Solanum lycopersicum: one gene and its partners. Each later gene encodes a partner of the first gene's protein in a complex. Links are inferred from orthologs where the notes say so. Each region holds a gene or a part of one and is shown on either strand. Other genes may lie near its edges. The genes, in order: NAD(P)H-quinone oxidoreductase subunit N, chloroplastic; NAD(P)H-quinone oxidoreductase subunit S, chloroplastic; photosynthetic NDH subunit of lumenal location 1, chloroplastic; NAD(P)H-quinone oxidoreductase subunit T, chloroplastic; ndhI.

Region 1 (5,033 bases):
ATTTCCCCAAACGTGATTCAATTTTAAGCAAAATGTCCCCATTTGACAAAAAAGGGGCAAACCCTACAAACATGGTATAAATTCATTATGAGACTTGATAGTAAACAACTTTGTCCTAGATTCTTCAACTCCATACTCCGCATAACCCAGATGTCTGCACCCTGCATGTAATTACAGAACACAGAAAGATCACTTTTAAGCACTCCTAGTAAGAAATGACCATAATCATTAAAGTTAAAATTGCAGCGCTTTTCTATCTCTACACATTTCTCATCACACAAATCAATAGAAGAAATGTTCATGCCCATTTCAATCCAATGAAGTTTCCCTTACACAAGCTTACCCCGAAAATGGAAAAAAAATCTATCTTTAAACTCCGTTAATACGCCTCCCATAAACTCCTTAGACAATATATCTGGACCTCAACACGACATAGACGCATATTTCTGTAAACAGGGCAAACTCCCACTACGTTGTAATCATCTTGAAGCACATCAACGCAAAACCAAATCTGCTATCCCCAGGTTCCTCCACTTGATATCCACCACATCGATTAAGTCTATAACTAGGCAACTTGCTATACTTTCTAATTGACGGATTCCATATAAACAAGTCATGCAATTTGTTACATAGGCAACACAAATCAATCTGTTTACCGAACCCACCAGCCAAGGATAGTCTTTGGAAATTTTACCTGGATAATCCAAGTCAATTACCTCCTTTACAGAATGGCGATGTAAATCACTACACATAACTAGCCAACATAAATAGCAACCTTAAACATAACTCCTTGTTACTAGCACAAAATAAGAGATGCGTCTTCACAAATTTAGGGATAGAGATTAAGGAAAGCCAAGATTTCGACACAGACCTGAATTGTAAAAGGGATTTCACCGGAAGCCTTAACAAAACTAAATCTTTGCTTGAAATGGACTGAATTTCCATGGGTTTGCTCCGCTTTGGGAGGCTTCGTCCTCTTTGGATTCCATTTGGGTTTTGCAGAAATGGGAAATCTTTGAGGTTTCGATAGGGAGATTACTATATAAAAAGCCCTAAAGTTTGTCTTTTTTATTTTCCCTCTTACAACAGAGCTGGTTTTAGTTTTTATGTTTTAATACTATATAAATAATATTTTCACTGGTAATTTATATTTTAAAATCATTATATATTGAGTGTTGGTTATATTTTGTTATCTTAAACAACTTATGTCTTATAAGGTATAAATTTATTTTCAAAATATGATGCAGGAATCAAAGCACCATAGTACGTGTTCTAGTTAAAGGAAGGAGATATATGTGCTCCAATTATTTTTGGAGTTCTGTTATGTGTTTCAAAAGTTTTACTAGTAATTATTGTGAAACATTGTCTTTTTTAGATGTTAATGGTCGTATCACAATTCATATTTTATCTGTGGTGAACGTTCTTACTCCTTATGAATTTTACAATGAATACTTAACTTTGTTTTATTTTAAAAATTCAAAATATAAAAGAATAAAAATTAATTTATTTGAAGGACAACTTATGCAATTAAATAGGATGTTTGGAAATTTCATAATCTTTACTTGGATTTTGGATTTTCAATCCAAAATATATAAATTAGGTTTAAGTTTGGCTTTTGTTCTTTTCTAAATCACAAAATTATTTCATTAAAAAAGTTACAATAGAGTTTGAACTCTCACCTTATGATTATTATTCTAGCTATGTTTGAATATACAATATAAAATTAAAATTTGAATAACTAATTTGAGATTATGTTATCTCAAATTTTAAATTCTCCCCAAAACATCATTTCAATTTTTAAAATATAGAACTTATCCCATAAATTTATATAGCTAATATTATTATGCATATTTAAATATTTGTTATTTGTAATTTCTTTATTGTAAAGTTTATCAGCACATTTATTGAGTGGCAAGGAACAAAGTAGTCATCTTTGTCCAAGTTTGCAATGGTCCTTCCACAGTCTCTGTTGCTATAGCTGCCTACTGCCACCACTCACACACTGCCACCAAAATACCCAAATGACAACTCTCTCCTACACCTTCCCTAGCACCACCAGCAGCAGCAGCAGCACTAGGAGGTTCTTGATTACTAGCAATGGGTCTTCTTGCCGGCGGCGCCCCAATATTTCCACTGAAGACCAACCCTGTTCCTCTTCAGGTCATCCCCAATAACCCCTTTCTCTGTGTGTGTGCGCAGTGTGAAGATTTATAATGCTTAATTGATATTATGGGTTGTTACAATATCTTGATATTAGGGTGATCACTAAAAAAGTGAAAAGATCAAGACTTTGTAATAATATTGCATCTGTGTGAGGTGGGGTGTTAATTTTTATTTTTTTTTAAAAAAAAGGGGTTCATATTGGTGGTTAAGGCTTGAGCACCTCCTACCTTTGAGGTAGTTTAGATAGGCCTAAAACTTAATTTTACATGGTATGAGTACCAGGTTCATTCCCGGTGTGAGCTTTTGGTTCTCGCTCTCAAGGGGCCTAAGCGTGAAGGAGGGTGTATGGTTTTGCGATTGAGTTAGGTCCGGATGACAATATCTTTACGGACTTGATAACTTAATGGTTGATTCAAGCTTGTTAAATGTAAATATTAAGTTATGTAGGGAGTGGAAGTATGCATTTTACTTAATAATGTTTTGAAGTTGTGTACAAATTCAGCTTCAACTCACATTTGTTCCCAATTTTCAGCTTTATGGTTCAATATCATGGTGTGTGTGTGTGTGTGTGTGAAGATGTATAACGTTTAGTTGCTATTATGTGTTGTTATAATATCTTGATATTAGGGGGATGGTTAAAGAACTGAAAAGATCAAGACTTAACTTAATGGACTATTCAATCTTGTTAAATGTGAATATTTAGTTGAGTAGGGAGTGATATGTACACTTTACTTAATTCTGTTTTTAAGCTATGGTTTGGGTGTGTAGAGATTCAGCTTCTACTCGCATTTGTTCCCAATTTTCAGATTTATAGTTCAATATCACGGTGTGCGTGTGTGTGAAGACGTATGCTTAGTTGCTATTATGTGTTGTTACAAAATTAGGGTGATGGTTAAAGAACTAAAAAGATCAAGACTTGATATCATAATGGGTGATTCCAGCTTGTTATATGTAAATATTAGTGGGGTAGGTAGTGAAAGTGTACATTTACTTAATTATGTTTTGAAGTTTTGTTTTTTGGGTGAGTAGAGATTCAGCTCCAACTCACATTTGTTCCCGATTGTTATTGTTTTACATGGTATGAAATCCAGACTTTCCCTAATATTGGTCTATAAAGCTGAAAATGTTTGTGCTTACTGTTATGCACTGTCACATTAAGCAGTGCATTGGCAATGTTTCTAGCCATTGTTGACAATGGTAAAAACTGACTTCTGGTTCTCGAGTTTCACAGGTTGCTTACAGTAGGCACCCTTTCAGTTCTCCCTGTAACATAATCTTATCAGTTCTCTTTGGAAAATGACTTATTTATAACTTTTTCTACCTTTTACATGTGGAAATGCACACTTGCAGCACCAAAATGATACTGTTATCCTGTTCGCATTAATTAAATTTTGAGAGTGATGTCTTAACGTTCAATGTTTTTCATTATGATGCCTTTGTTCTTTCGGTCATGTACCATGAAATCTGAATTAAAATGGCAAAATGCAGCCTGTTATCAAGGGGCAGTGCAGTCTTATGGTCTGCAGAAGCAACGAGTACAATTAAATGGCATATCAAAGGCTGTGAGAACGAGAAGACTTGATTCAGTTGGAAGACAAAAGAAAGGAGCAATTAGATGTAACATTGAACTTCAGGACTTCATAGGTGGAGATCTCATTAAACCTGATTTGGGTCAATGGTTATCAGATGTGGAAGAACACAAAGCCATAGCAATTTACTCTCCTCATGAAGGGGGCTATGAAGGACGCTACCTTACACGTCTTAAGTACCAGGGATATCATTTCTTGGACCTTTCGGCTCGTGGCCTCGGTGACCCTGAAACCACTCTTACCAAATTCCACCCTGTCTGCCCTGTAAGTTTAGCAGTTCGCATACGATATGCTTATTCTCAAACACTAACTTGCAGTGTCTAATTGACTCTCATCTGCAAATTTTGATGTTGCAGGCTCATGTTGGTAAGCAACCAATAGCTAGATGGTATTTTCCTCCAGAAGTTGATTATAGGCTTTCTTTACTTCCTCCGGATGCTAAAGGATTAGTGGTTTGGATAATAGAAGCCAAGGTTAAATCCACCCCTTCAAGTGTACATCATCTAATTAGTCCATCAGCAGTATTTTGACTAGATCTTTGTTAACTGTTTGACCTAAAATGTTCAGGTCTTATCAAAGGCAGAGCTGCAGTTTCTTGCTTTACTCCCGACACTTCGTCCTAATGTGAGGGTCATTGCAGAGTGTGGTAACTGGTAAGATTTTCCTTTCATCTTCCTTTTTCTTGTTTATCAATCAACTCTCTTGTAAATAAGGAAACTTTGAGATCTTGTCGTTGTGGTTAAAACAACATTGTATGCAAAAGCTACCTGGATTTACTTCAGTTTAGCCTTCTGTGGTCAATGCTACATACTTTATCATCATTCTTAGCTTGTAGATGCAAGAGTCAGGACAAGTACTTTAATAAAGATAGCATCTTTTGGTTTTCTTTTTTTTCATCTTTTTAGAATTGCCGAAGGTCAATAGTAAACAACCTCTCTACTTTTGAGGTTGGGCTAAGGTATACATACACTCAACCCTCCCCATACCCCAATTTGTGGGACTACACTGAATATGTTCTTGTTGTTCATCTTTTTGAGAATTGAATTCCCTTCTATTCAAGAGGTGCATGCTCATGTTAATTTTTGAATATATGTTCATTACATAACTATTCTATTTACATCCCCTTGAGCTGCGGCCCTTTCCTGCACCTTGCGTGGACACAAGATCCTTCGTCCACCGGGCTGCCATATCCTTTACTTTTACATGACTATTCTATTCATGGCATGTACAGGAGAAAGTTCATGTGGAAGCCACTAAAGGAAATTGCAGATTTATCTCAGT
Region 2 (3,393 bases), on another chromosome or scaffold:
CAAAACAAAAGCAAATTCGTAATTGGAAAGAGCAGTGATAGAATGTACAGAGCCTCAACTAATATGTCCATGCCTTACTGTGTTAATTATATAATCTTCATTTCCATCACTTCACATTCTGCAATCTGCGCTTAAGATGTAAACACAAGCATATAGATACTAACCTGCGAAGACAGATTCATGATGCCATATTTGTTAAGTTCAAGCCAAACAATTTTGTTCTAGAGATAATTCTATGAAAATCTGCCAATAACTGCCCTTAAAACTGTTTCTCCACTTTTACAGTTAGGTGGCTGCAACTAATTTTGAGGCGAAGATGTGCAGACAGAGGACATAGTTTTTCGACGTCTGGCTTACATTTGGGTGATTTCTTTTGCATGTATGGTATAACTGACACAGTTTTCTGGAATTATAAGTGTATTCTGCAAATGACATCTTTAATTAATGATCATTAGACATTGGAGGCTAATGCGTGGATTGGCTTACTACCTTGATACTGAATGTAAACATTTGCAGACTATGCATTATAAAATTTTGGTCCATCTGTTTGAGAATCTGTCAAAATCTTGCAGTTTGCACCATTGTATACTCTCTCTCAGGCTAGCTATCATTATTGAACTTATCTACATCGATATCGACCTGTTGTCCAATTGGATGGAGTCTAAGATCCACCATATGTGGTGTCAGAGGTACCTCATGCTTGTGAAAAGTAAGAATTGTTTTATCACTCACTGTTAAATACTGTATGTTGTTGTTCTGCTAGACTCTCTCTTTGCTCGATAAAACGTGTGATATTTCAGATCCTCATTACTGATGGTATCTAATGATCTATGAATTGATCAGAAGAACATGCTAGGATTCATTACTTAAACAAAACTAGATCTTGTGCAATCATATTAAATATTTGACTATATGTTTTGCAAGTGGTTTGAATTACCTGATTCTTATTTTTTACGTTGTTTTTGTTAAGAGTTCTTTCGAACATCACTGCTAAGAGTTGAACTTCTCATTTGGGACAGAACTCTTCCTGCACAAAAGTTTTTCTGCATTTCTTATTACATGCCATTGCCATTACAAAACTTACAGCTTGTATGTACAACAACCCAAAAGACAAAAGAACAAACAATCTACTCAAAAACTGAAGCAATTCAAGCTTCAGAGCTCTTTTCTACCATCTTCTCAAGTATCACAGACTTAAGATTCACCATTGGCGGTCCTTTCTCTCTACGTTCGAGTTCTTCGAGCCTGAAAGATATCAACCTATCCCAGTTCCCACCTTCAAAAAGCACAGCAGCCTTACCATCAGTAATCCTCTGCACAATCCCACAATACATATAATATGGATTATTAGAATTCTTGACAATAGCAATCATCCCAGGTAACAAAAGTGGCAATTCAGGTGGCTTTGGTTTCTTCACAAGACTTTGATTAAAACCAGAAACCATACTTGATTCTGTTTTCTTGGGTGGTGGTGGTGGTGGATTTTTCTCTATAAATTTCATTAGACCCTTCTCACCTCCCGGAAATCCGCCAGTAAACCCCATCATTTCTTTCTCAAATCCGTCCTCCGGTATCTCCCCAGTCTCCTTGTTTTCTTGATTATCATCATCACTAGCTGCTGCTGCTGCTGATCCTACTGCCTTTTGTTCTTCGGAAATCGACTTTTTTAGCTCTTTCTCTATACCCTCTTCTCCATTACACAGACCTCTACCTCCAAGAATCTCATAAAGATTGAATTTTGCTATTGGTGTAACTGAGTTTGAAGATGATTTCATAGCTGATTTGGTATGAACACTACTACTGAGGTTGAGATTGACAGATTGACCAAGAAAGTTTGATTTTTTAAGAGGTGGGGTTTGAATTTGAAGGCTTGAGAGTTGAAAGGAAGAAGCAGAAGCCATGGTTTTGATTTTTTTTCAAGAACTTTGGATTTGGGAAAGATGATGGTAGAGGATGAGATGAGAAGTAGAAATGGGAAACTGTAATTTGTCCTTTCAAATTCTGACCACCAATCTGTTTTTGTTTTGATATCTTCTATTGACAAATGAAACACATGAATGATGTTATCTTCCTTGGAAAAAGATTAAACTTGCACTCATGTTTTACACCATCCTTTCAAAAAGAATCAGGACCACACGTGAGGAATTGCGTTAAAAGTAAATTATAATTTTTATATTCATTTATGAAATTACACGAGATATATTATGTTTTTCTTTAATAATTTAAGATTTTTTTAAAAAATGATCATATGATTTAACTTGATGATCAGAGTATATAGAGGTATTAGATTCGCGCTATGTTGCTATTTGTTATCAAAAGGAATTTCTAAAAGTCAGGACCACACATGTGAAAGGGGTCTTGTAGAAGATATAGTTGATTAAATAAGAGGGCGTTTGAATTGATTTAAAAGTCAGTTATTTTTATTTTTGGAAGTGTTCGATAAATATAAAAAATAACTTAGAGTAAGTAAAAAATGGCTTAAAATAAGTCAGAAAGTGTTTGACAAAGTTAAAAATAACTTTAAAATGACTTAAAATAAGTTTAAAATCAAAAGTAGGTCTTCCTCTGCCTTTTATTTTTTAACTTATAAATCATTTAAGTTTGACATTTTATTTTTGATTTAAAAGTTACTTTTTAAGTTCATCTAAATAGCCTCTAAAGTTGTTTTTTTAAAGACGTAATTTTTCACAAATTGCAAACATAAAAATCATATTTGTATGTTGTAAATATAGTTTGCATAATTGCGTTCCATAATAAATTTTATGTTTGCTATGGAGTTTTTGATTTGTATAATTCGCTAGATACATCCAATTTTATTCAGATTGTTCAGTTTTGTATAAATTCATTTATAAATTGTAATTTGTATAATAAGATCTAGATTTATATAATCATAAGTATATAGAACGAATATATATATATATATATGTGTGTGTATGTATGTATGTATGTATGTATGTATTTGTATATAATCTTTTCTCTCGTTTCATACAAACACAAACACATTTTATACATTCTATATCGAAATATATAAAATGTCTAATTATATATCGGAAATGACTAATTGTATAGCGAATCAGATTACAAAAGAATGGAATGTTTGTGACAAATTACAAACAAAATAAATCATAGCTATATTATTTAATTTGAATAACATATTTTGCTATTTCATACCATTTTTCTTTAATACATTATTAAACACAATTTAGAGATAATAAGTATTGATAAAAGGTGTATATAGTGTACACATTGAATTTGCATAAATTGGAGCGTAAATTATTCCTATCAATAGCCAGAATGGGGACGAAAAGAATTCTTTTTTGTCTCTATAGGATTCATTAAATATTTGATAATAAATTCAATAATTAATATATACTATTAATTTAAAATTATCGT
Region 3 (3,948 bases), on another chromosome or scaffold:
TGATTTTTTATATGGTCGTTCAACTAGTAGTCATTATCTCAAAAAGATTCTTTTTCTTCAACAAGAAAGGTGGCTTTCTGGGATAATAACTAATGGAGATAGTTCAACATATATGAATGACTATTGATTGCAGAGTATGCTTATTAAGGATTTGGTTCTCACAAGTAATATACCCAAATTGTCTAACTAGGATAAAAAAGCAAACTCGTCAAAATTTTGTGTGATTCTACAAGACGAGCTCAATCTTTGTTACAGTTCACAGAAGTTACTCTATTCTAAATCCTAGTTCACGCCTATATAAGGGTAAAAGTTACTTTATTCTAAAACCTAGTTCACGTTTATATAAGGGTAATATATTCCCTTGAAGAGGTATGTCAAATATGTCATAAACTCCTAGAATATTCACAAAGAGATCAAGACATCAAATATTGCCTTACAATCAAATATATCTCAAAGAGGTCCAAATTATCATATATTCGAGAAATATGTTACTAACCACCCTCGAATAACAGATTTAATTCAGAGAGAAAAATCAAGAGAACTTATACTCGCAAATACCAATGAAAAACTGTGTTTCATCATATTTTATAGGCATAATACATATATTGGACCCTAAACTTGACTTCAAATTTTGACTTTGACCTCCAACTTTAATAGTGCACAAATAGACACTTAAACTATCATACCATTAAATAAATAAACACACGATTTTTGGAGACAAAGAGAGTGAAATGCAAATGCTCCCACGTATATTAGTGAGCCACTCAATGACTGCCAACTAATTAAATATTTTATGCGTCCATTTTAGAATTTAAAAAAAATTTAAATGAATTTTGATTTGGAAATATAAAAAAATATATAAAAGGGATTCATTAATGGTGGAGTTGTTATTTCAGCATTTTTTTACCATTGTGGACCTCAAAAATTACTACTCCTAACTCGCACAAAATACATGCACATTACATGTTTGCCAGGTACGACTCGCGTGTTTATTTATTAAAGGGTTAGATAATTGAAGTGTTTGTTTGTTTACTATGAACGTTGGAGGTCAAAGTTAAAATTTGAAACCAAGATTAGATATGTATCATGCCGTACTTTATTTGTGCTTTATTTTCCATCACTTTAAAATTTGTCGTTAACACTTCACCGCTTCAACTACAAGGGGATTTCAGTTACTTATGGGATAGCCAGAAACATTCTTTGTACTGTAATTCAATAAACAAATTGCAAATCCTGTTTCATGGAACAAGACTCTATCATTGCAGCTCTTAGAACAATTCTAAATGTCCAACACCTGAAATGAATCAGCCACCACTTTAAGTTTGTTGCGGAATTTTCTCCATCGCCTTTCATTCGCTCCCACGATTAATGTGTAGTATCTCCCTGTACGAAATGTCTTAATACGAATGCAGAAAAATGTAATGTACAGTTAAAGGAAACAAACCAGATCACTTACCATTTGCAATTGCTATAGTAGCAAATGCTGCCCGCGAAAAATTTGGAGATGTCAATACATATTCAAAGGTGAAATAGTTTTTCCCATCCGTAGTTCTCTACATAATTTTGAACAAAAATATGGTGACTAATTGAAAAAGAGCTACGTATATTGTACAATCAAGAGAATAAGAAAGGATCATACCTCCTTCATTTCCATTATATTTGCCACCTGATTCGGTGCAGAGTAAACATGTTTTACCAGATCGGGCACAACCTTTAGGAAAGTAGAAATAAGTTGGTATGACGAAGAAAATACATGTCTTTTTTATATTTTTCTCCTCCTTGATAGCTTAATAAAAAACGGCTACATAGATGAATAGTACCGCGATTTACCTCTTGCATTGGCCCCAAATCATGGATATCTGTTTTATCAGTTGGTATAAAACTAAGTCTTACATTTTGCAGTTGTAGATACCTATCTTTAAATGCAGAATCATGACCTCTGAAATCGAATTCCTGTACATACATCCAAAGTCAAAATGAGAGTTTACTAATTTCTAAAAATTCATTTCTTAAAAAAAAAAGAAGCAACATACCCTCCAATCTGATGGATAGTAATACGAATAACCATCTCGTTTGTCAACAAAGATTTCATAGTTCTCCGGTACTCCTGCATACACGTCATTTAATTATAAAAAGTAAAAAGTTTAGAGAATAAAAATTATAGTAACAGAGTACCTTGAGCTAGAAGGGGAGTCGCGGGTAATAATAAACCCAACGAAAGAGCCCCTGCTCCTAATAGATATGACCTTCTCATCAAGCATCCTGAAACAGAGATACTAGTAGAATTTTACCACGGAGAAAATGGCGTAAATGCAAACATGACTTCATAATTGATCGATATGAAATTTTCTTACTCTGTTGATTAGGGGACGTGTTTTCTGATGCCGAACATGTAATAATGTTGTGTAAGCCATGCCTATTCAAATTGTTGGCTGCTGGTGATGGAAGCCCAAGATTCAATGAGAGTGAAGTAGCTGCCATTTTTGTGGACAAAAATCACTAGATTTTTGCTTAACATGTTTATTTTTTCTCCTAATACAATCACTTTTTTTTCCATCATTTTTTCTTGCTCAATAGGATAAGATGCAAATTAAATGTGAGGATGACCTTTCCTGCCAAGGTCCAAATGGGCTTTTATGTCTCTTTCAACTACAACTAAATGAGCTGTGCTTCATATGTGGGGCTAAAATTTGACTATATCCACATTGATAATTTTTACTAATTGTTCTTGCAAATTTTTCACAAGTTTACCATGTCATAAATATCTGTATGTAACAACAGCACAAACTTGAATCCTTGATGGATGAGGCGGATCTAATGTATTGATACCGAGTTTATCTGAACTCAGTACTTTTAATGCGAAATATAAATTTATGTGTAAAAATTCATCAAAATTGCAATAGATAGTAAATGTAAACTTATAACTTAAAAATTAATGGGTTGATCAATGCTAAAAACCTTAACAATTGACTTCGAAGAATTTAAGATAATGATACTTTAACAACTCGACCATATGAAATGTGATATCAAATGCACCCATGTTGATGTGGAAAAACCAAGCACAGGTTCTTTCAATCACTGTATAGCACAAGCTATTTGAAAGGAAATCCAACTGGCGATGCATCAATGATCAATTTACATCCTAGCGTGGAGGTATTCATCAACTGTGTAAATGCAACGCCAAATATAATTGAAGAATGATCAAAGGGTACCAGGGGTGGAGTACGCCATGTTAATGTACCTTGGATGATCCAAATCTCAGTGTATGCGTCTAAAGTTTCAATCCTGAAATACAATATACAGGAAAGGAAAAATAGCAAGCAAACAATAATATTTGTATTTGAATTAATACTAAGGTTACAATCTTTATAAAATATCTCAAAAAGATATTTAATCCCCTGATTCTTCTCTTCACAGATGTTATTGATTTGGCGGAATACTTGCGGCTCAACCCTTGGAGCGAAGACTTCTTTATATGCTGAAAAGCAATTATGTATTCCTGTGTATATGTATTTTTTTTTGTCCTTTTGGTCAGAAGAATACCTCTTTATATAGGCTTGAGTTAGGGCTTTAGGGTATTTTGGTCTGAGCAATTTTGATCCCTGGGCCTGAAGAACATGAGTTGGGCTCATCTTGTCAACTTAATGGAATGATCCAAATGATTTGGACTTGATTTAAGTCATACAATTTTGGCTTAGATATTAATTAGACTTTATCAACCAGTAATTTGACTTGGTCAACATATGGTGATTTAAGATTTAATCCAAATGTAATATGGATTTATCAATAAAACTTCAGTGTTTACAAATGCCCCTACTTTGAGGCTTGTTGAGGTGCTTGATTTGTCGAACTTGTAAAGACAAGCCTTGAAGTATTTGTGAAGCAAATGTTTTTTTTATCGTAGTTGATCTTTCACGAGACATTTGAAGCTTCATGAGAGATGACCAT
Region 4 (4,173 bases), about 2.5 Mb from region 1:
TTTTTCCTTGCAACATCGTCAATTCCATTAATATCCTTATCAATACGAGGAAGATATTTAGCGGTAATTAATTAAGATAATTATTTAATTATTATTAAATATGTATTTTTAGTGATAATTTAGTATTTTTTTTATAGCATTTAGTAACATTGGATTTAATAGCACTTAACTAATGTCGATAAAAACTTTAACACTCTTTACTAATATATTTATTTACTTTCGTTAAAAGTTATTTTTGAATTAGTGTATATACATGTTTTTAACCAAAAAAGAGATAATTTATTGATTGTAAAACCCATGTGTTTAATTAGAAGAAGAATTTATATTGGAACTTAATTGGAAAAAAAATATGTAGATATGTAACAAAGTTCACTTACTAGCCTCCATACTTTATGGTGGATTTTTTTTTTATATATATATTTTTGGTACACTTTTAAGACAGTATCAAGAACTTCTAATGCTATCTAACAGTATCAACTCCTTATCTAAAAAATTATTCCTTCCTTTAATTTATTTGGGTGGGGGGGGGGGGGGGGGGGGGGGTTTAGAGGAAGCATATTGAATCTTCACAAGTCACTATTAGTATATAAATAGCTTCAATAAGAGTTTCAAATTCATCATCAATTCAACAAGTTATCAATTCTCTTATATTACATTAATCTTTTTTTTTCATTAATTAAAAATGGAGTCATTGAAAAAAATGGTAGCTGAAAAGCCAGTGGTTATGTTTAGCAAAAGCAAGTGTTGTATGTGTCACACTATAAAGACACTTATATCAAGTTTTGGTGCTAATTTAACTGTATATGAATTGGATGAACTTCCCAATGGGCTACAAGTGGAGCGAGCTCTGCTGATGCTAGGCCGAAGGCCTAGCGTGCCAGCAGTGTTTATTGGACAAGAATTAATTGGCGGTGCCAATGAGATTATGAGTCTTCATCTAGAGGGAAATCTTGTTCCTCTACTCATGAAAGCTAAAGCTCTTTGGCTATAGTGTGTATATATATATATACACTTTTTTTTTTGCTTTACATATCTAGTATGCGAAATTTACTGGCATGATTAGTTCAGACTCACGCTAGTAAAACTACAATATATCATGTAGAAAGTGCATATTAACACCTTGTAAGTTTGGTTTTTCTTAATGTTTGTGGAATTGAGCATCTTTTATTTAGTATGCTCAATGAAAACTCTGTTTTCTCAAACAAGTGTCTTTTAATGTATCTTTAAGCATTGTAATAATAAATTATATACAATGCCATACTTCAACATGACTTGTCATTCTGTTTTAATTATTTTTGTTAGATGCTTGAGTATGAAGTTGTGTTTCCTCGAGATGTGAATCCAGGATTTAAAGTTTGTAAATTCGGAATCTATTCAAAAAAGTAAAATATGTGATATTTGTATAATGATCCTGCCTTGTGAATTGAAAGCAAGATAGATTTAAAAAGGGTTAAAAGAACAACTTGGCTCTCTTTTATTTGCCACAAAAAAGAAAATAAATTACATTGACCTCCACTTCAACAATTCAAAAAACAAGTTACGAGTTAGCTCATCCTATAAAATTAGTTTAAATATATGTCAGCTAACTTGAATATCATGATAATTATATAAAAAGGAAAATATAGAGACAAGGGGTGTGTTGCGTTCCGAACACTAACTCACAAACTCATTCTTTTTGCCACCCAACTCCCAAGGAGTATGATTGTATTTATAGGTGGCAATGAGCGGGTAAGACTGAATTTGTTCGGGTTAAAAATGAGCTGAGTTAATAAATAGACAGGTCATTGATCCGCCCAAAAGTTACTTGGACTGAAATGGACTAAAACGTGGATCATAACTCAACCTGTCCAACTTACTTTTATAATTTTTTTAGTACCTTAAAGAATGTATATAAATTGTCTTGAAGTTAAAGAGTACAAACGTCAAAAATCAAAATTATTGATATTTCACAAATGTAGACAAAAAAGCAAACAAAATGTTTAGTTATTTCCTCAACCACACAGAAAGACAAGGTGATGAGAAAGCCCCTCCCTCTAAGACTACTCAAATCAGACACAAAACAAATTTCCAATTCCATGGCGTCAGCAACAGCTCCACCAGCTCCATTCACCTTTCTTACAAGGAACCAAACCAATAATGAGCACAGAACAGATACCAGATGGTTGACAACAAAACAAAGAAGACGCCGTGTTGGCTTACAAGTTTATGCAAAAGAAGAAGGGGCTACTGGGCGACAACGTGCTCCTCCTGGTGTTGACACAAGAATTCACTGGGAAAACGAAGATGAAGGATGGGTAGGAGAGAGTAAGTCACGGTCCACACAAGAACGAATCAAAACAGACGAAAAGAATCTCTTTGATGAAAAATTCTCAGACCTCCTCAACAGTTCAGCTAATTCTCACTACCAGTTAGTCTTCATTATCTACTTTGCTATCTTCATCTTATCTCTTAATGTGTGGCTCACAGTTCATAATTCTAATGTTTCAAATTCAGGTTCTTGGGAGTATCTGCAACAGCTGATCTAGAGGAAATTAAAGCTGCATATAGGAGGCTATCAAAGGAGTATCATCCAGACACAACTAATCTTCCTATAAGAGCAGCATCAGAGAAATTTATGAAACTAAGAGAAATTTATGATGTCCTGAGTGATGAGGAACAACGGCGATTCTATGATTGGACACTAGCTCAGGAGACAGCAAGTCGAGAAGCAGAGAAAATGAAAATGAGGCTGCAAGATCCACGCATGCTGGAAGTAGAAAACTGGGAATCTGTTCCAGACATGGTGGATCGACTTGGTGGAAGGAACATGGAGCTGAGTAATCAGGCAAAAACTGCCCTCACATTTGATATCTTGATTATCATCTTTTCGTTTTGCTGCATTATATATGCAGTAGTCTTCAAGGAACAATATTAACAGGAACAACTATGTGCATTATACAACAACAATATTCTATACTGTCAATACGCAGTTCATACACTGCAATGACAATGGATTGGGAAACAGAACGACTAGAGCTTTAGTCATAAGTATAACTATAGTTTATTTCTATTGAGATTACAAATTTACACTATTGTCTTTTCATGAGATTATTGACAGCAAATGAAGAAACAATTCTCTCATACATCAATAAAATCTTTCATGATGGGGCTATGTTTCTCAATGTTAGCCTGCCTACGCCAATTACTCACTGCATGCTTAACGGTGTCACTGGCTTTCTGTATTTCCTCAGCAGAAAATTTGTGTTCCACAATGCCTAGTGGACCAGGTTGTAGTACCTTAACTACAGTTTCCATATCCAGCTCCAGTTGCCTGTTAAAACAAACACCAAAATAATGCTGAAAGACATGGAAATTCATATTCACAATTTGATCTTTGTGTCTCATTCTGGTCTAAAAGAGAATATTAGGAAAATCCAATTGAAGAGTGCTTTGAAGCGCACGTTCCTATCAATCTGCATTTAGATACCTACTCTTCAATCAATAAATAATAACAAAGAACAAGAAAACACCAACGGTCATGCTAATTGCTAAATAGAAACAAGAGTTTCTCGTTTCTTGATAACACAACTCCGTAATTCTCAAGAGTTTGATAACAACTCCGTAATTCTCAAGAGTTTGATAAGTTCTAAAATTTCACTTACTCTTCAAATATCAAATGAATTAACTAATGTAATCCTACAACAGAAGTTGGCACCTTCTCTCAACCAAAAAGGAAAAGAATACTTCTATGTTATAATAGTATTAAACTGCCATACACATTGTTTTCTGTAAGATATAGAACTCCCAACACTTGGACCTTTTTCCTCATAAATGTGGTTCTGGTCCAAGCTTGTGCCACACTGACTAATTCCACTGGGTACCAGCTACTTCTCACCAGTGCAGGTACCAGATAACTCTGCCCAAGCTCATGAATACAAGTTATGCTTTGGAATGAAAGACAATTCCAAATCCTCTTGGTCTACGAACAAGAAAGCTATAAGTAATGCAAATATGAATCTTCTCATGGAGAGTTTGATCCTAGACACCTAATGCGTTTGTCTCTCTTGGGGATTGAGCTTGAGACTTCATGGTCCTCAACCCACTTCATTGACCACTAGGTCACGTGCTTGGGTAGTAACAATTTGAACATTTACAAGGCTATGTATTGGAGAATTAGCTCTAAGATGTTCTATC
Region 5 (2,898 bases), on another chromosome or scaffold:
TTTGAAACAAAAAATGAGTGGATGGTTAGGAAGACTAAGATACACAAAGGATTAGTAATTGAGATTATGTAAGTTATCCAAGAGGATATTTCTGTACATAAAAGGAATTCAAATTGGGGCTTTACGTTCGTAGAAATGATCAAGAAGTACTCCCCATGATTCTGATCCAGAGTATGTTCCTATCCACTGAGTAAGTAACTAACTATCAAGAACGAAGTAATCTTTTACTTTGGTTAAAGACCCTTTTTCTGAGAAAGGAGAATAGGAATGAAATAAAAAAATCGAAATAGAAAGAAAAGAAGCTAATTGCAAAAGGAAAAAGGAGGGATGTCTTTTTTTGTTTTTATTCTTTCTTTCCTATAATTCAATTTTTATTTCTATTTAGAGAGATAAAATTTTTGTCATGATTCATGAACTAATGTACTCTCTAATTTTTTTCGTAATTGAAAATTCGAGGTTGAAATGTATATGTGATATTGCTATAAAGCACATTTTTTTATTTAATGATAAGGTTATTAATCAACAAAGAAAAATTAAAATTCTTAAAAGATGAGATAAATTCAGAAGCACTTATTTATTAGTTTTAAATATAGCAGACAGAATTCCATTGGTCTAATTTGGGACCTTAGAATAGATTTTGACTCTATCTGACAAACATATCAAGATAAAGAATAGGAAAGGGCCCTTAGATTTAGTTGTGACCTCTGAGGAGCCGTATGAGGTGAAAATCTCACGTACGGTTCTGTAATAGCGATGGGCACAGTGATGTTATCATCGACTATGATTATCTAACAGTTTAAGTACAGTTGATATAGTGGAAGCGCAGTCAAAATATGGTTTTTGGGGGTGGAATTTGTGGCGTCAACCCATCGGGTTTATCGTTTTTCTAATTTCTTCTCTCGCCGAGTGTGAAAGATTACCTTTTGATTTACCAGAAGCAGAAGAAGAATTAGTAGCAGGGTATCAAACCGAATATTCTGGTATCAAATTTGGTTTATTTTACATTGCTTCATATCTGAATCTACTAGTTTCTTCATTATTTGTAACAGTTCTTTACTTGGGAGGTTGGAATCTTTCTATTCCGTACATATTTGTTCCTGATATATTTGGCATAAATAAAGGAGGTAAAGTCTTTGGAACACTAATTGGTATCTTTATCACATTAGCCAAAACTTATTTGTTTTTGTTCATTCCCATTGCAACAAGATGGACTTTACCGAGGCTGAGAATGGACCAACTATTAAATCTTGGGTGGAAATTTCTTTTACCGATTTCTCTAGGTAATCTATTATTGACAACCTCGTCCCAACTTCTTTCACTGTAAAAGACCACAATATCCTAGATTCACGACTTGTCTCAAACAAGAGAAAGAAACAAGCATAAAATCTTTTTTATAGATATTCAACATATGCTCCCTATGATAACTGAATTCATAAATTATGGTCAACAAACAATACGAGCCGCCAGATATATCGGCCAAGGTTTCATGATTACCCTGTCCCACGCAAATCGTTTACCTGTAACTATTCAATACCCCTACGAAAAATTGATCACATCGGAACGTTTCCGAGGCCGAATACACTTTGAATTTGATAAATGCATTGCTTGTGAAGTATGTGTGCGTGTATGTCCTATAGATTTACCCGTTGTTGATTGGAAGTTGGAAACTGATATTCGAAAGAAACGATTGCTTAATTACAGTATTGATTTTGGAATCTGTATATTTTGTGGTAATTGCGTTGAGTATTGCCCAACAAATTGTTTATCAATGACCGAAGAATATGAACTTTCTACTTATGATCGTCACGAATTGAATTATAATCAAATCGCTTTGGGTCGCTTACCAATGTCAGTAATTGATGATTACACAATTCGAACAATTTCGAATTTACCTCAAATAAACAATGAATAAACCCTTAATTTGATTCAAAAAAATTACAAATTACGAAGGCTTAGTTCGGATCTAAAACAATGAGATTTTTGCTTGGGCAATTCAAACTAGTGGTTTCTTAATGAGACTCCTAGCTTAAGCTTAATTTAGATTGAAAACAAAACCGAGTTCAATATTATATATTATAATAGTAATGGTTTCAAAGTAGATAAATGATATCAAAAATAGATAGGTTTAAACTCCTCTTTCGACGAATAAAGAATGGATAGTGGTCCAATAAAATAAAAGCATCTACGTCAATTCATACCCATTAGACTTTCATTCAATTAACAATTTCAAAGTATCATAAAAAATAGAAAAACTGCTTTTTTCCTGGTCAGGTCAATAAAGTCATGAAATTCTTCGTTTTTGATTTTTTATAAAAAATGGATTTATCTGAACCAATACATGATTTTCTTTTAGTCTTTCTAGGATCGGGTCTTATATTAGGGGGTCTAGGAGTGGTATTACTTCCCAATCCAATTTATTCGGCCTTTTCCTTGGGATTGGTTCTTGTTTGTACATCGTTATTCTATATTCTATCTAACGCCTATTTTGTAGCTGCTGCGCAGCTACTTATTTACGTAGGAGCTATAAATGTTTTAATCATTTTTGCTGTGATGTTCATGAATGGCTCAGAATATTACAAGGATTTTCATCTTTGGACCGTAGGAGATGGAATTACTTCGATGGTTTGTATAAGTCTTTTTATTTCACTAATTACTACTATTTCAGATACGTCATGGTACGGGATTATTTGGACTACAAGATCAAACCAGATTATAGAGCAAGATTTTCTAAGTAATAGTCAACAAATTGGAATTCATTTATCAACAGATTTTTTTCTCCCATTTGAACTTATTTCCATAATCCTTTTAGTTGCTTTAATAGGTGCAATTGCTGTAGCTCGTCAATAAAAAATTTCTATTAAAACTTGGAATTCAAATAAAATTTTGTTCTGTCTTATC

Evidence for each region.
Region 2: NAD(P)H-quinone oxidoreductase subunit N, chloroplastic (region 1) and NAD(P)H-quinone oxidoreductase subunit S, chloroplastic share a complex: the UniProt entries of both Arabidopsis thaliana proteins name them as parts of the chloroplast NDH complex. The link is inferred for Solanum lycopersicum from reciprocal best matches to the Arabidopsis thaliana genes NdhN and NdhS.
Region 3: NAD(P)H-quinone oxidoreductase subunit N, chloroplastic (region 1) and photosynthetic NDH subunit of lumenal location 1, chloroplastic share a complex: the UniProt entries of both Arabidopsis thaliana proteins name them as parts of the chloroplast NDH complex. The link is inferred for Solanum lycopersicum from reciprocal best matches to the Arabidopsis thaliana genes NdhN and PnsL1.
Region 4: NAD(P)H-quinone oxidoreductase subunit N, chloroplastic (region 1) and NAD(P)H-quinone oxidoreductase subunit T, chloroplastic share a complex: the UniProt entries of both Arabidopsis thaliana proteins name them as parts of the chloroplast NDH complex. The link is inferred for Solanum lycopersicum from reciprocal best matches to the Arabidopsis thaliana genes NdhN and NdhT.
Region 5: the proteins of NAD(P)H-quinone oxidoreductase subunit N, chloroplastic (region 1) and ndhI are in contact, whole or in part, in a cryo-EM structure (PDB 7WFG), measured with the Arabidopsis thaliana proteins. The link is inferred for Solanum lycopersicum from reciprocal best matches to the Arabidopsis thaliana genes NdhN and ndhI. Residues at the interface, in NP_200634.1 of Arabidopsis thaliana: His81, Asp102, Ile103, Ser104, Ala105, Arg106, Gly107, Leu108, Gly109, Asp110, Pro120, Cys122, Pro123, Ala124, His125, Leu126, Gly127, Ile131, Arg133, Val163, Leu164, Ser165, Lys166; in NP_051113.1 of Arabidopsis thaliana: Tyr44, Ile76, Asp77, Leu78, Pro79, Val80, Val81, Asp82, Asn96, Ser98, Asp100, Ile103, Glu124, Glu126, Thr129, Tyr130, Glu134, Tyr137, Asn138, Ile140, Ala141, Arg144, Leu145, Pro146, Met147.

What each region holds. Positions count from the first base shown.
Region 1 is NC_090808.1:66,281,927-66,286,959, forward strand, and holds the start of NAD(P)H-quinone oxidoreductase subunit N, chloroplastic, read left to right. Parts: upstream 1-1,751; 5' UTR 1,752-2,021; coding exon 2,022-2,160; intron 2,161-3,651; coding exon 3,652-4,016; intron 4,017-4,108; coding exon 4,109-4,225; intron 4,226-4,319; coding exon 4,320-4,405; intron 4,406-4,983; coding exon 4,984-5,033. UniProt on the Arabidopsis thaliana protein: NDH shuttles electrons from NAD(P)H:plastoquinone, via FMN and iron-sulfur (Fe-S) centers, to quinones in the photosynthetic chain and possibly in a chloroplast respiratory chain.
Region 2 is NC_090807.1:67,426,941-67,430,333, forward strand, and holds NAD(P)H-quinone oxidoreductase subunit S, chloroplastic, read right to left. Parts: upstream 1,902-3,393; coding exon 1,149-1,901; 3' UTR 1,025-1,148; downstream 1-1,024. UniProt on the Arabidopsis thaliana protein: NDH shuttles electrons from NAD(P)H:plastoquinone, via FMN and iron-sulfur (Fe-S) centers, to quinones in the photosynthetic chain and possibly in a chloroplast respiratory chain.
Region 3 is NC_090809.1:53,936,856-53,940,803, reverse strand, and holds photosynthetic NDH subunit of lumenal location 1, chloroplastic, read right to left. Parts: upstream 2,629-3,948; 5' UTR 2,482-2,628; coding exon 2,355-2,481; intron 2,277-2,354; exon of another isoform or gene 2,263-2,276; coding exon 2,176-2,262; intron 2,108-2,175; coding exon 2,034-2,107; intron 1,954-2,033; coding exon 1,831-1,953; intron 1,712-1,830; coding exon 1,640-1,711; intron 1,554-1,639; coding exon 1,457-1,553; intron 1,384-1,456; coding exon 1,280-1,383; 3' UTR 1,074-1,279; downstream 1-1,073. UniProt on the Arabidopsis thaliana protein: NDH shuttles electrons from NAD(P)H:plastoquinone, via FMN and iron-sulfur (Fe-S) centers, to quinones in the photosynthetic chain and possibly in a chloroplast respiratory chain.
Region 4 is NC_090808.1:63,749,403-63,753,575, forward strand, and holds NAD(P)H-quinone oxidoreductase subunit T, chloroplastic, read left to right. Parts: upstream 1-1,638; 5' UTR 1,639-2,015; coding exon 2,016-2,407; intron 2,408-2,493; coding exon 2,494-2,914; 3' UTR 2,915-3,117; downstream 3,118-4,173. Other genes in the region: monothiol glutaredoxin-S2-like, read left to right, coding at 683-991; uncharacterized protein, read right to left, coding at 3,118-3,310. UniProt on the Arabidopsis thaliana protein: NDH shuttles electrons from NAD(P)H:plastoquinone, via FMN and iron-sulfur (Fe-S) centers, to quinones in the photosynthetic chain and possibly in a chloroplast respiratory chain.
Region 5 is NC_007898.3:119,536-122,433, reverse strand, and holds ndhI (NADH-plastoquinone oxidoreductase subunit I), read left to right. Parts: upstream 1-1,408; coding exon 1,409-1,912; downstream 1,913-2,898. Other genes in the region: ndhA (NADH-plastoquinone oxidoreductase subunit 1), read left to right, coding at 785-1,324; ndhG (NADH-plastoquinone oxidoreductase subunit 6), read left to right, coding at 2,317-2,847. UniProt on the Arabidopsis thaliana protein: NDH shuttles electrons from NAD(P)H:plastoquinone, via FMN and iron-sulfur (Fe-S) centers, to quinones in the photosynthetic chain and possibly in a chloroplast respiratory chain.